2 linked regions of the Caenorhabditis elegans genome follow. The protein of the gene in region 2 purifies or fractionates together with the protein of the main gene of each other region. This does not show direct contact. Each region holds a gene or a part of one and is shown on either strand. Other genes may lie near its edges. The genes, in order: scpl-4 and timm-17B.1.

Region 1 (7,029 bases), on a different chromosome or scaffold from region 2:
GGAAAAATGAAACGAACACTTCTGAAAAAAATTGATACGTTTTTTTGGAAAGGGTGGAATAAGAAACAACAAAAATCAACAAAGAAGTGTGTAGACGGAGAATTCAACTGTCATATACCGGCTCTGAACAACTCTAGTGTGGGAAGAACTAAATTTAAAAAAACACAAGAATGGAAAGAACTAAAAAAGAAAACAATATAAACCTACAATCCTATATTATTAGAAAAATTGAGCTATAAAAAGGCACATTGAGAGTGAAAAGGGCGCAGGGAAAAGAGAGTCAGAGTATCATATCATCAGATGAAAAATGTTTGGAAAGTTTAGGCATTAACGTGTCTTCTAGATCCGAACAATCTTCCAGAATATCTTTTCAACATGGAACTATCATCGGGTTGTTGTTTCTTTTGTTCTTCTTGTTGTGACAAGTATACAGCTCGTCGACGGAATTCTTTCGCTGGATCATCGTATTGCGAGTAGTACTGTAGCATGGGACGAACATCTTCAGCGTCAGATAGGTGAATAGCTGAATTAATAAAATACAAAATGTTCCAATAACGGGATCGATAATGATCATGTTTTTTGCCAAAATTATAAGATTTTATGTTATAATTTTAAAAATGATGTAATTAAATATCGAAGTCAGATCTGTTGGTTTTTCGTTTAATGCGTTTTTTTTTGGTTTTTTCGGGAAAAAGGAAAAATTTGCGAAAATTTTGTTAATCTATCGCAAACTGAAAATCGTATGATAATGTTCAAATTTAACACCTTTTTTTTCAAAAGAAAAATTACACTGGAAATTAGAACTATTGAAAATTTCAATAAAATATCTGAGTTTTTCAAATTAACGTTCAAAACGTATTTTACGGGAACACAGAATTCTGAGAATGCGTATTGCGCAACATATTTGACGCCCAAAATATCTCGTAGCGAAAACTTCTTTAGATGACTACTGTAGCGCTAGTGTCGATTTACGGCATTTCGAAAATCGAGCCCGTAAATCGACACAAGCGCTACAGTAGTCATTCAAAGGATTACTGTAGTTTTCGCTACGAGATAATATGTGCGTGAAATATGTTGCGCAATACGCATTCTCAGAATATTGTAATAAAACAAATTTTTTTTTGCTTTTTTCGTGCTTTTGGCAAAAAAAATTAAAATTGAAGCAAATCATTCATATTCAAAACAACTTACTTTTAAGAAGCTCTGCCAAATCAACTAGACTTGTATCATCCATATTTCCTTTCCACTCTGGTACTCTTAACATGTTTTCTGGATTTAATTGTCCTGATTTAGCGTCAAAATCGATATAAATAACTTTCGACAAATCGCGATTCAATTTCGACAAATCCTGGAAAAAAAGTTTAACTAATTAAGAGAAATCGTAATTTTTTACTTTGACATGGTGTCCATTCATATACTTTGTGCAATCTCTGAACAACTTGTACATAATTCTTTGTTTTGGATCAAAACTATCAACAACTGGAGCAGCTGTCATCATTGATTCAGATGAATAGATAACGACTTCAAAATTTGGATATCCAATGACATCGAGGAAATAGTCAAGTGCTGGACGCTTTAGGAAACGATATCCAGTTTTGTATGTCCATTCAGGATGCACAAGAATATTTTTCAATTCGATCACAATTGTATATTTTGGTTGGAGATATGGTGCTGGCAATGGATCAGGCAACAATTGCTCACGTGCTGGCTCGACGACATACTGAAAATAAAAATATTAAAATACAGTACTGCCGGAAAAAGTCGCGATTCCGACTTTTTTTTTTGAGCAGAAATTACAAATCATTCTGATAATGGTACTAATTTTTAATCATTCTTTTTATATTAAGCTATTTTTTGTAAAATTATTCATTTCAAAAATTGGTCAAGAAAAAGTGCAATGGATGAGATTAACTAAATCTATTTTGAAACTTATCAAATTTTGCATGTGTTACTGATTATGGATTTATAAAATTGTTGGTCTATTTGATGTTTTAAGAAATATTATTATTGGTATATGAATAAATTAGATACTTTCAGAAAATATCAGCAATAGCTGTAGAAAAAAGGTATTCTGGCATTTTGTGTTCAACAATGTTATACATTTCTTTTTTGAATCTTTAAAAGATTGAATTCTCACATCTCTCCATAATTTAAAACTGTTGGCAATGCGGTAGAACGGTGCCAAGAAAGAACCACTGAATTCATCAGATATCACATTTCCGAATTCATCTCGTTGTGCACGTCCATAGTAGAAACAGAACGAAATAAATCCGATAATAGATCCACCAAACAGAACATATGCTCCAATGCGAGTATTTCTTTCCATTCGTTTCCGGCGAGCTTCGATTTCTTCAGCGTTACCAGGCTTAAAAACCACACTTAAAACAGTTATGAATATAAGACTTACGTCACTGTTATCACTAGAACCTCCAGAAGAAGAGGAAGACTTTGATGCAGCAGATTCCAATTTTTCAAGAGAATCTTTCAGTGAGTTCAACTCGTCAATGGCTGAAGACGTGGGGGCAGGAGCAGGAGGCGGGGAGCTCAGCACCTTTTCAGCTTCTATTTTTGGACTTTCCTACAAATTTCAAAATTTATCAAATAAAACAAATTATGCGTACAACTTCGAGTTTCTCTACTTTTGGGGCTTCTTCGACTTCTGATTTGAATGCGATTGCTTCTTGGGTCTCATTTATCGGCAATTTGATACTAGCAAAAACATTTCCGTGCTGAAAACTGTATAATTATAAATTATCTATACTGATTCAAGTCAATACGTTTATTGGCACAATTGGAGCAAAACGAGTGCGTCCATTGTCTGCATAAGGGTTTGCAACAGCCGGTGGGCCCAGAAGAGATTTAAAATCTGAAATTTTTGTATAATGAGAAATATTGGTGGAATCTTACCTGAACTATAAAGTCTTATAAATGTTTTCGCTTGGTGTCGGCTGAAGCAGGTCTGAGTCAACTTGCTCAGCGACATTTTTACCCTGAAATTTTTTGGGATTGGTAGAATCTAGAAATGCGTACTATGATGCAATAATTAGGTTAAAAAAAAGTATGAGAAAACGTAGAAATTTTGATACAAGACCTAATTATTATCTTTGCAAGAAATTTAAAATGAATTGAACATTGTAATAGAATTAAGAAAATAAAACAGGAAAAATCACGTCTTGAACGAACCCTTACGATTTACGATAAACAACACGCGAATCGTAAACCGGAGTGTCGTTGCAAACTTTCATGAAAAATTTTGTTATAATTTTTATAATTTTAACAAAAATGTCTGTATCTTGTTATAAATTTATACTTATAAGAATACGCTTGTTTATTTAATACTTTTTTTCACGAAAATAGTATGCACTAAAGATGTGTTCAAAGAAGTTCCCTATTATTAGCGCTATATCGCTATAAATGTCGAGATGTCAAAGAGCGTGACTGAATTTATTAAATTATATAGATAATCCTGTTAATAAATCAAGCAAGTACAAGTTATTCTTGAAATAAATGAATAGTCGATTTTAAATCGAAATCACAATAGGCTTTGGATATGAATTCAACGTTAGGAGAATATATTATAGGACCGAGCTTATCAACAATCATTGGAGCAATAGAATAAGTTATGAATAGGGATAATATGCTATTAAGGATGAATTAATAATCTCTTATACTATATCTACGGTTTCACATGAAGCATTCTTGTTTGGTGCCATCCGAGTTGAATGAATAGTCGAATAGTGATTCGGCATTGTTGCATCGTATACGCGGAAGCCAGGAACAAGGACGGGACGTGACTCAACCAACTTCAAATGGATTGCGTAGAAATAGACAATATCGTGTAAAACTGCGCAGAATAGTAGAAGGCCGAGCATATTCAACGAGATGTCCACTGAAAAATGTTTTCTCAAATAAAATTCTGGTTCGCTCAACTCACTGATGTTTATCCGTGCATCAACTAGCTGCTTCACTTTGAGCATAAAAAGTACGAGAGTTCCGTTTGTGGCCATGACTGCAAGGAAAATGTAGAGTGGCATGAAGAGACGGCGGTAGAGAAATACTCCGGAAAACAGTATAGCGAGAAGTATCAGCCATTGCACAATCACGACACGAGTCAGAAAAGCTTCATCTGGAAACAAAAATGTATTTTTAAAAAATTTTCAGAAAAAACTCACCAAAAATATTGTTTTTCTTCCTTGGGGTATAGTTTCCATACTGAAAAACGAAAGATCCTGCATAGTATCCAATAGTCAGAATTGCAGCAAATGCATAAAGAAGAACTACTCGTGGCGAGTGTTCAATCCATTCCATCTCTAAACCATCAATGACATCTCGCTTCATAAATACTGTTAGCGGCTGAAAATTTTAATTAGTTTTAATTATTTTTTAAAGCATTTTTCAACTTACCTTTTCAGAACTAACAACAGATTTGCACGGGGGAATATAAAAATAGCTGTGCTCCGCATTCGGTACTGAGTATTTCTTAGAAGCAGGAGTAGCGAATATTGTGTGATTAGTAGGGATTGAAGAAATAAAAGAGGATGACGACATTCCTACTGAAGTGATCGAAGATCAACTGAGGAAATATCGACTGATGAGCATTCAAAACTATCGGGTTCATCATTATGTTCGAATTCGCGGGGTTAAAAAAAGAAGAGCAACAAATGATCTACACACACGCACAAGTCTAAAAACAGGAAAAAATCGAAATTATGATCTAAAAGTTTGAAATATTTATTATTTATACTCTTTCAATATCTAAATATTATTTACACAGAGAACAGAAAATAAAAAAGTTCTTGAAACAATTTCTAAAGCTTCTACAGTAAGAATGAAGGCGCATAGCATTCTTCGTTTAAAAATATATTTCGCGCGGCGAGGCCCACTTGCATAATTGGACCTCCCTTTAAAAAAGTTTGAAATTCACATTAAAAAAGGCCTTTAAAGGCAACGTTAACGCGATATTTACAATGATCATTGTAAAAAGTAGAATAAAAATCGTTACGGTCGTCGTTAGATATTTGACGTGTTTTCCAAAGTTCATAGTTAATTTATTCTATTTAGATCCCTTGGACTTGTATCAACTTAATTTATTCTATCTCAAATTGTGAAAAAATGTTGATTTTATAAATGTCAAAAACATTTGAAGATTTTTACAACTAAAAACATCGCATACAATTTTTGTAATCCCAAGGGTCTCTATCTCCTAGCAACGAATTTCTGACTCCATCTTCCTGACTTCTTTTTGTTTTCAATTCAATTGGCATACAAATAAATCCTATGATTATACATAACCTACACTCTTTCGCCTGAAATCCATTTCTGGTCGAAAGTGGTCATTTTTCTTTCTAAATTGGTATGAGAATGATTTTCTGTCCAATAAAATTTCCACATTCATTCATTCCTGTTCCGTGTCCTATTCTATCTTCCTATTGCTCCCCTCATATAATTTTTTCAATGGCATGTAGTCACGATAAGCATAGTTTTACCAAGTTTATAAACAAACTAAAATGTACACCTTCACATGAAATTTGAACATTTTCATTCAAGTGGCATGATTAGAAAAAATATGTACCAAATTTTTTTAATGACGAAACTTATGATACTGCTCAAATTAAGATTTAGAAGATAAACTAAATTGTTAATCAAATTGTTTCAGTTTAAACTGTTCTACCAACCATTATAAATTAGACTGAACTCATTTGCACAAAACACTTTTCCAGATTTCTAATTATAGTTTTCCACATTTCACTCTGCTGACGTGGCATTTCCATTTCAAATTCACACTCAGAAAACTTGAGCAATTTTCAGGAAATTGGCGGAGTGCCGTCTGATTTATAGCCTTTTTTTTTGTTCGTTGCTTTCATTTTCATCCTTTTCTCTCATTGCTTTCTTTGCCAGATATTCTCGTATCCAATTGAAGGAATAACGAGGAAGCTGTGAAGTCAAGAGAAGTAGTGTATATGTGTCTTCTTGTGACGTGGCTTCTAGTGAAAGCATAGATTCAGAGAAATATAGAGTTCATTGCTCATAAATTTTTATAGTTGGAAGGCCTGTTAGAGAGTGCGCCATGCCCATCGTCCAGTCGTTTTTCCATATTTGTTTTACTAACTTGGTAATTTAGATTTGATTTTCTAACATCAACAAATTTATTCAGAATGAGAAAATATTCATCCAACATTGTTTTTGAAGTGCTTCGAATATCGCTTAGTATTGATTCCAAAAAGCTTTCTGAAAGAGTTCTCCAGAACTTTAAAGTATCATCTTGAGTGAACCTAATTTGTTATTTTTGCTGCTTACTGTGAAGTTTTATGTCTAGATTCCGTTTTTCGTACTTCAGCACATTTGTTTCCAATATAATAAGTTATAATTACACAATTTTTATTGTGGAGTTCAGATACCTTCTTAGTTTAGAGGTAGAGTACCACCAATAGGGATAATTTTTGTTTTAAAATTATTTGATTATTTAACTACCAAAACTCCGTTTTCAACAATCATGATTTCGAGAATTCACTAAAAATTGTTTTTTCTACGATTTGGACATTCAAATCACGTTTGAGGCTCATATAGTTCACTTTTTTTGTTGAAAATTTGCCAGACAAATTTTAAATAACCCGCAATTACTTAAGTTCAAAAATTGTAAATAATGTTAGACAATTATGGTTTTATTTTTACAATATAAAAACTAACGATGCAACAATAGAATAATATATAAAATTAATTAGTTGGTTTTGTAATACATCACTATCTATGTACATTCGTTGTCGAAAGTTCTATCTTTATCTCTATGGAAACTCTGCTCTGAATTCACGGAATAAATTTTTTATTCAACCACACGATGTGTTATTGATGACAATAAATTATTGCAATGTAGATATATTAAAACTGAATTAATAGTCAAAGTTACAGATAAAATGAATATCCTGTAGTTAAATGTGATTAATTAATTTAATAGTAATTTATAGTGAATATATTTTTCCCAAATTGGAAATTTCTAATTGTAAAAGTTGCAAGTTGCAAGTTTTTGAAGAG
Region 2 (7,029 bases):
CTCATTTTGAGTTATAATTCCACTCCAATCAATTGGGTGAAGAGCTGGGAAGAGAGATGGAGCAATTGATCGAAGAAGGCGAGTGTGTCTGTAAATAACAATTTGGATTCTTAAAACCTATGGATTTTGTAAAACTGAAATTTTTTGAATTTTCTGATGCCGCGAGGGAACACGAAAACGGGATCTCGTCAAATAGAAGATCTGCGAAAACAGAGGTCCTGAAATCGTGCCAACTGCAGCTCTTGAGACCCTGGATCTTGTTTTCGCAGATCTCGAATTCGTAGATCTATTCAATATTTCATATTTTCCTTACTTATAGACACTTTCCACAGCTGGAATCACAGGATTCCCTCCATTGATCAGCAAATGAGTGATACTGGGATTGTTGAGCTTCTCCATCAAATGTCTGTAGGTTGGAGTATTGATTACTGCATCATCACTGATATGAACCATCTGAAAATGTATTTTTTAATGTCAATAATTCTTTTTTCAATCTTACATAATCCAACTGTTTTTCCCCATTCAAAAATGGTTGCAGTGATGATGAGTCTATCAGTGCTTTCACATGATCCTCTGTAGTACATTCTGTCACTAAAAGCAGTGGCTTGTCTCCTTCAACTTTATCCGATGAGAAAACTTGATCAGGTTGAATCGTCCTTCCATCTGGAAGAGTAACTGCTTCTCCTGATTTCAGTTTTCCAATTAGTGGACCTTTCGGTACTTTCAGTTCCATCAACTTCATCGTATCGATTCGTCTGGCTGCCTCCTTCATTTCGATTAAAAATGCAATGTCTACATTGTTGACTTTCACATTTTTACTTTTTTCGTTGTTACTTCCGATATTCAACGGTGGACTCAGAGGAATATATGTGACCTTTAATCCGGCATCCTCATAATTCTCCATTGTATATGGACGTTCTTCAACTTGAGATGGATACTTGCAGCTACCGTAATCCGAATCTTGAAATGGTCGAATACATTCCAAAAAGTGTTTGATATTCATTGCACCATGAAGTCGAGTAGACAATGCATTTGATTCCTTAGAAAGTAGAATTGATGAAATTCCAGCAATATTATCCCAATTTGCAGATGTGATGAAAAGATCAACGACGCTTGAACTTCGGATCCTAAGCTGCCACAGGAATCTGCATGCATTCTCAGGGCAGTTGAACATGTAGGTTTTCAGTGGTGTTCGAAGGATGAAGCATGCTCGGAGAAGTCCTGTTCCATTACCGAGAACTTCGATCGATACTTGACTGGGAATGTTGACAATTGAGTTGGCCGGTGGTTCGTGAGCCGCTTTTTGTTTCTTCTGCACTGCCGCCATTGATTGTCGCAGATTTGAGATGCTTGCGTTTACTTCTCGAGCTCTGAAATATTGGTAAAGTTTATTAAATAGCGTCAAAAAAATCAAAAATTCGAATTTTTTCATACAGTTTATGTATTTTTCAACTGAAATTTTGAAAAAATTGACGGAAGCATGTCAAATTTCAAGTTTTGAGGTCGAACATATATGTGAAATCTTGAAAAATGTCTCTTTAACGCATTTTGCCATTCAACAAAATTGTCGTGCCGAGACCCCGTACTGTACTTTTCAGACAAAAAATCCCAATAAAACTCACTTCAAATGTGAAGACGAATGCTTCTGAAGAATTCGGCGATTTCTGGCAATTCTCTCCTTGATACTTTCTAATAATTCTTCGTTATTATCCTTAAATAAGCAGCTGGTTGAAGAAATCAAGTGACGAGAAACTCTGAAAAGTGAGATTGTGAAAAATTGCGAAATGTGAAAGTACTAGCGGAAAAACATGCAGAAATTAAAATTGTTGTTATCCAGGTGTGGAATTTTGCAAATCTCCAACAAACTAGGTCTCGACACGACAGTTTTTGCTGCAAAACTTGAAAAAGCGTGCGCCTTTAAAGAGTACTGTAGCTTCAAAGTCTCGCCGTGGATATATCCGCGCCAGTAGGCTGTTTTTTGTGCGCTTTCGATGACGAGACTGTGGGATACATATATAATTTTTTAAACACATACAATTTCAAGAAAACGGGATGAAAAACTATGAAATATCCGCAAAAACAAAAGTTTAAAATTACAGTACTCTTTAAAGGCGCACGCCTCTTTGCAGTTTGCAAAACTTTCTCGCGTCGAGACCATATACCGTATTTTTAGCATAAAAACATTTCATGCAATTTTCCGCAAAATTTCCGATATTTTTATACACTTTATGCCAAAAAACAACATTTTCATGTTTTCAAATTTTTAAAATGCATTTCTAGCAAAAAACACCGTGAAATTCATTGTTTAAAAATCAAATATCGATATTTTCAGGCAAAATGTAGAAAAATTCCCGTTTTTTCTCAAAACCTGGAGTTTCTGTATAAAAATTTCGCGTTTTTTAAACGAGAAATCTCGAATTTCAAGGTTTTCGGGTAAAAAATAATGAAATTTCAGAATTTTTGCCTAAAATCGCAAATTTTCTCGTCTATTTCAATTGGGGGGACCACTCACAAACCCTTACAGAATCCGATTCTCTACAGTTTTCCTCGCAATCGCTCCGAGCATCAGCTTCGAGCTTTCAGCTGAAATTTATTTGAATTTCATGCACTCTATTGTGCTAAAGAGCTGGAAGTTAATGTATAATTTCAAGATTTAATTTTACTTTAAACACGATTGAATCATCATGATATTATAAACAACGTCTTCATCGGAAAAAGAAATAGGGAACAGTGAAGATTATTAAAAAGAAATTAAAGGGGAAAGAAATTCGAAAAAACAGGGGAGAGATGGAGATGCCGTGCACCCATACGGATCTGAAACTTGATTTTTGGAAGGAAAGCGCGAATCTAAATAAGATTCGTGATCGCAATGAACATCATCAACAAAACAAACAACACTAATGTAATATGTAACTAATAAAATTGGAGCTCCTAAAAAATGTAGAGGAATCGGCCGATCACCGAAGTTGGAGGGGGGAAAATTGAGATAAGAGACAAAAGCATAAAGAAAAACGGATATGAGTGAAAAAAGATTTAGGACAGATTTGGTAATCCAGTTGGAATTCCGAAGGGTCTCGTTTGGTCGAGTCCTGGTTCTGCTTGACTCTTTTGTCCCAGACTGCGTGGATCGTCGAGAGCTTCTGGCTGCAAAAATAGTGAATAAATAAATAAATAAGTTTTGAGCCAGAAAACAAAACATACCGGCGGCTGTGTTGGATCCATCATTGCTCCCATCCAGCGGGTGGTCACCAATCCGACTCCTTCGATCATAGCCAGAATTACAGAGCCAAGAATCGCACTTCCTGCCATCACCTAAACAAAAATTATTAAATTATTATTAATTCACTAAATTAAAGCTATTCTGCTACCTTTGGTCCTGAACGGATCGCCAAAAGAGCTCCAGTCAATCCTCCAGAAACAATAGAGTTGATGGGGTCTTCCTTCTTGCGGATGGCGACAAGACAACAATCGATTGTACTGAACATTCCTCCCCAAGCGGCAAACTGAACTCCTGTTAATGTGCTTCTCATTCGTACTTCTCGCATCATCCCAACCTAAATTAATCAATTAATTAAGTATTTTTGTCTTTAAAAAATTAATCACCAATTTCTTTCCTTTCGCCGCATTTTTATATCCTCCAAAAGCTTGGAAAATGGATCCTCCAACGAGACCCATCGCAAACGCCGATCCAATATCATCTCCGATACGATATGGGCTGGAAAAAATTATTTTCAGTAAAAAAACCAATTTTAGGAAATCTTACCATGGCTCTCTGGTGTACTCTTCCATTTTTGTGTGTATTTATTCCCTGAAAACAGAAATTGATTAAATTTATTGATTTTAAAGCGGTAAAAGTGCAGTTTTTTGTAAAGAATTGAGTTGAAAAATGAATCTGAAAGCTCGAGAAAAGTGCACGAGAAGTGCGCCATCACGCAAATTTCACGAGACATGCGTCAGCAAAGAATTGCTTGCGTCCTTCTTGACTTTCGTTTTTTCTATCGTTTTTATTTTTATTTATTTCTTTGAATCATTAACTTTTATCTTAAAAGTTTAAATCTTAAACATTAAAGTTAAATAAAATAAATATTTTCTTTAGTTTGTGACTAGATTTAATAAAAATTAACAAGGATAAATACTTTAAAAACAGTTTTTATTTAAGAATATAGATTATAAAAATGATAAAAATACATTGTGAATAGTTTAAGCTAGCAGAGTAGTTTGAAGTGCTCATAAATGGATAGAAGAAGTCGTGAGGTAGTCGAATATCAACGTAAGGTAAAGCTGAAAATATGTTCTTCGGAGGTGGTGTGACTTCTGTGAATGAAATTGAGATTGGCATACGAATTTCTTGGCCAGAAAGATACGGAACCTGAATAAAAAACTAATTTTGTATACATTAAATAAGAAGGTCATACATCATCTAAAAGTAGCTGTGAGTTTCCTGCAATTATAACCTCTCGATAGTTTTTTGTAGATCCTTGCTTGGAATAGTAGATTTGAAGTAACGAGGACACAGGTAAACGGCAGGATATTGTGGAAGGTGATAGCTGAAATTAAAAAAATATATAAATTAAATAGCTAATTAAATAATAAATACTTCTTCCCAAGTAACATTAACTCTCCCAACGGAAGCTGGATGTGCATCTTCTGAAGGCGATGAAACAAGTACGGATGGATAAACTTGTTCGTAGAATGCTCTCGCTTTTGCACGAGCATCTTCGCAATTTATTGTGGAAATCGTGCACACAGAAGACATCGATCGAAGGAAGAACACAGGAGATGGTGCAATAGATCCAGAATAGCAGTTGCCTAGTGTTGGAACAGCGAATGGAACGGGAATAGAACCTGAAATATTTTTGAAAATGTAGAACAAATATAAGATCTACAATTTGAAATAACCTTTAACCCTATAAGTTTGCTCCCCAGCTTTATATCCTACAACAGTCTGATTTGTCTCTATCTCACTGGCAACCACAAGCGGAATCCAATAAACTGAAAATGTCTGCTCGAACCAATTATTATCTACATTTCCAGGAAGACTATCATATTGGGCATCAATCTCAACGGAATTCGTTTTTATCCCATTCATTCGGAATATAATATTTGCAGATTTCAAAACTCCATAACACATTGAATTATTCCAAACTGGAGCTATAAATTGGGCGGTGCTGAGCCTTGGAATCGCAATCGTCTCATTTTCGGTTCGTTCTACAAAATCGCCGTTTCCAAACAGAGCCTGAGCATTGAGAAACTCATTTTCGGAACAATGAGACAAAATATCAGTGGTGGCGAGAGGCTTGCACTTTACTGTCATATTCCTTTTCGTTATCACATTTTGAGTTCCAGTACAGAAATCGGATGCTGAAATTGCAGCGGGAAATTTGAATAGGCGAACGGCTCTTGAACTTCCGAAATGTAAGAGTTCTAACTGAAAAAAAAAAGAAATCTCAATTCATTATTAACCGAAGTCTTGAGATTTATCTCGAAAACTACTGTATTTACCCGGTCTCAACACGACATAATTTTTTGATGCGAGGAGATGTGCGCCTTTAAAAGAGTACTGTAATTTCAAACTTTCATCTCTGCGAAATTTTTGATAGATTTTTCACATTTTCTCATGATTTGTAATATGTATGGGTAAATTATTAAAAATCAATGAAAATTCCGCAGAAACGAATATTTGAAATTACAGAACTCCTTTAAAGGCGCATATTTATCTTTTCGCGTTTTACAAACAAAAGCGTGTCGAGACCAGGTACAGTATTTCTGGCGCAAAATTTTCCGTCTGCGTAGATCTTTAATTGTGTTACATTTTCTTGTGAATCAGATTCATCTTGCTGCCATCTAGATTTTGAAAATTCGTTCCATTGCTCTTCGCCATTCACAATTTCCACGTCACCATATTCCAAATCATCTAAATTCAAAAAAGCTCCGTAATTTGTTCGCGTTCAGCTAAAAAAAGCCCACCATTTTGCTTGGAGACGCAGAACAAACGAGAAGTTGGAAATATCGAATCAATCCGGTGCCGAACAACTGACGGATAACAAACCTCTGGAGTATCAGCCGAACAATAAGTTAAAAGAAAAATAAATCCAAGAAGATGCATGACAAAAAGCTCGTTCCGATTTCTTGGTGCATTGGTGCCCATTTTGGTTGCTATGGTAGCGGAAGAGTGTACACCTGCTGTGATGCGACTGTGGGGAAAAGGAAAACGAATTTAGGAAAATTATTTATTTTCCAAATTGACGTATATTCTTGCTACTAAAAATGAGAATGACACAAAATTAGTGCAATATATAAAAGTAAAACAATCGAAAGTGCCTAACTATGAAAAATTGCCGTAGCTAGGCGAGAACATTTAGGGGAATATTTAGAGGGACTTGGCGGATTCAACCTCGATGTACTTGATGAGATCTGCACGCTCGTCAGCCTTCTTGAGTCCAGCGAACACCATCTTGGTTCCTGGGATGTACTTCTTTGGGTTGAGGAGGTACTCGAAGAGGGTCTCGCGGGTCCAGACGACTCCCTATAATTTTTAATTTATAATAAACGTTAAGAAATAATTTATTAGTTGTACCTTGTTCTTGTTAGCAGCGGAATAGTCGAATCCAGACACAGTTCCTGATGTACGTCCGATAACTCCGTGGAGGGTTGGTCCGGTCTTTGTGGCGGTCGAGTCAACGACGTGGCACTGCAAGCATCTCTGCTTGTACACCTTCTTTCCCTTTTCGTAATCTCCAGCTGGGATATCGGACATGTTGAACCCTTAAAATACAGAAATTAGTGAAATATATACTAAAAGAGTCTAGCAGGAAGAAACCGCCACAGCAGCACTTGGGGAACCGCCCGTGATGCAATAGCGAGAAAGAAACGGGGGTTGTGCCATCTCTCGGGCGGCGAGGAGACGCAGAGACACAGAAAGGCCATAGAACAATCGGGCGGTCGCTCTCGGGAGTCTGGGTGAAATATCATTCAGCGAGGACATACTAAAATGACGCTGTTGAACTTTTTATCTATGATCTGAAAGGT

Evidence for each region.
Region 1: the proteins of timm-17B.1 (region 2) and scpl-4 fractionate together in Caenorhabditis elegans (co-fractionation; one large-scale study listed by BioGRID). This does not show direct contact.

Annotation. Positions count from the first base shown.
Region 1 is NC_003283.11:10,595,066-10,602,094, reverse strand, and holds the start of scpl-4 (Mitochondrial import inner membrane translocase subunit TIM50), read right to left. Parts: upstream 2,991-7,029; 5' UTR 2,984-2,990; coding exon 2,908-2,983; intron 2,867-2,907; coding exon 2,778-2,866; intron 2,730-2,777; coding exon 2,622-2,729; intron 2,579-2,621; coding exon 2,408-2,578; intron 2,366-2,407; coding exon 2,138-2,365; intron 1,721-2,137; coding exon 1,394-1,720; intron 1,349-1,393; coding exon 1,192-1,348; intron 524-1,191; coding exon 321-523; 3' UTR 1-320. Other genes in the region: T21C9.13 (DUF4149 domain-containing protein), read right to left, coding at 3,666-3,889, 3,935-4,126, 4,173-4,353, 4,405-4,548. UniProt on the Caenorhabditis elegans protein: Essential component of the TIM23 complex, a complex that mediates the translocation of transit peptide-containing proteins across the mitochondrial inner membrane.
Region 2 is NC_003282.8:4,741,685-4,748,713, forward strand, and holds timm-17B.1 (putative mitochondrial import inner membrane translocase subunit tim-17B.1), read right to left. Parts: upstream 3,809-7,029; 5' UTR 3,790-3,808; coding exon 3,764-3,789; intron 3,716-3,763; coding exon 3,604-3,715; intron 3,555-3,603; coding exon 3,369-3,554; intron 3,313-3,368; coding exon 3,202-3,312; intron 3,145-3,201; coding exon 3,034-3,144; 3' UTR 2,693-3,033; downstream 1-2,692. Other genes in the region: elac-2 (Zinc phosphodiesterase ELAC protein 2 homolog), read right to left, coding at 1-88, 314-453, 500-1,370, 1,623-1,754, 2,523-2,566; tctn-1 (Tectonic domain-containing protein), read right to left, coding at 4,151-4,369, 4,416-4,547, 4,598-4,845, 4,900-5,428, 5,811-5,914, 5,968-6,148; cyc-2.1 (Cytochrome c 2.1), read right to left, coding at 6,371-6,526, 6,578-6,757. UniProt on the Caenorhabditis elegans protein: Essential component of the TIM23 complex, a complex that mediates the translocation of transit peptide-containing proteins across the mitochondrial inner membrane.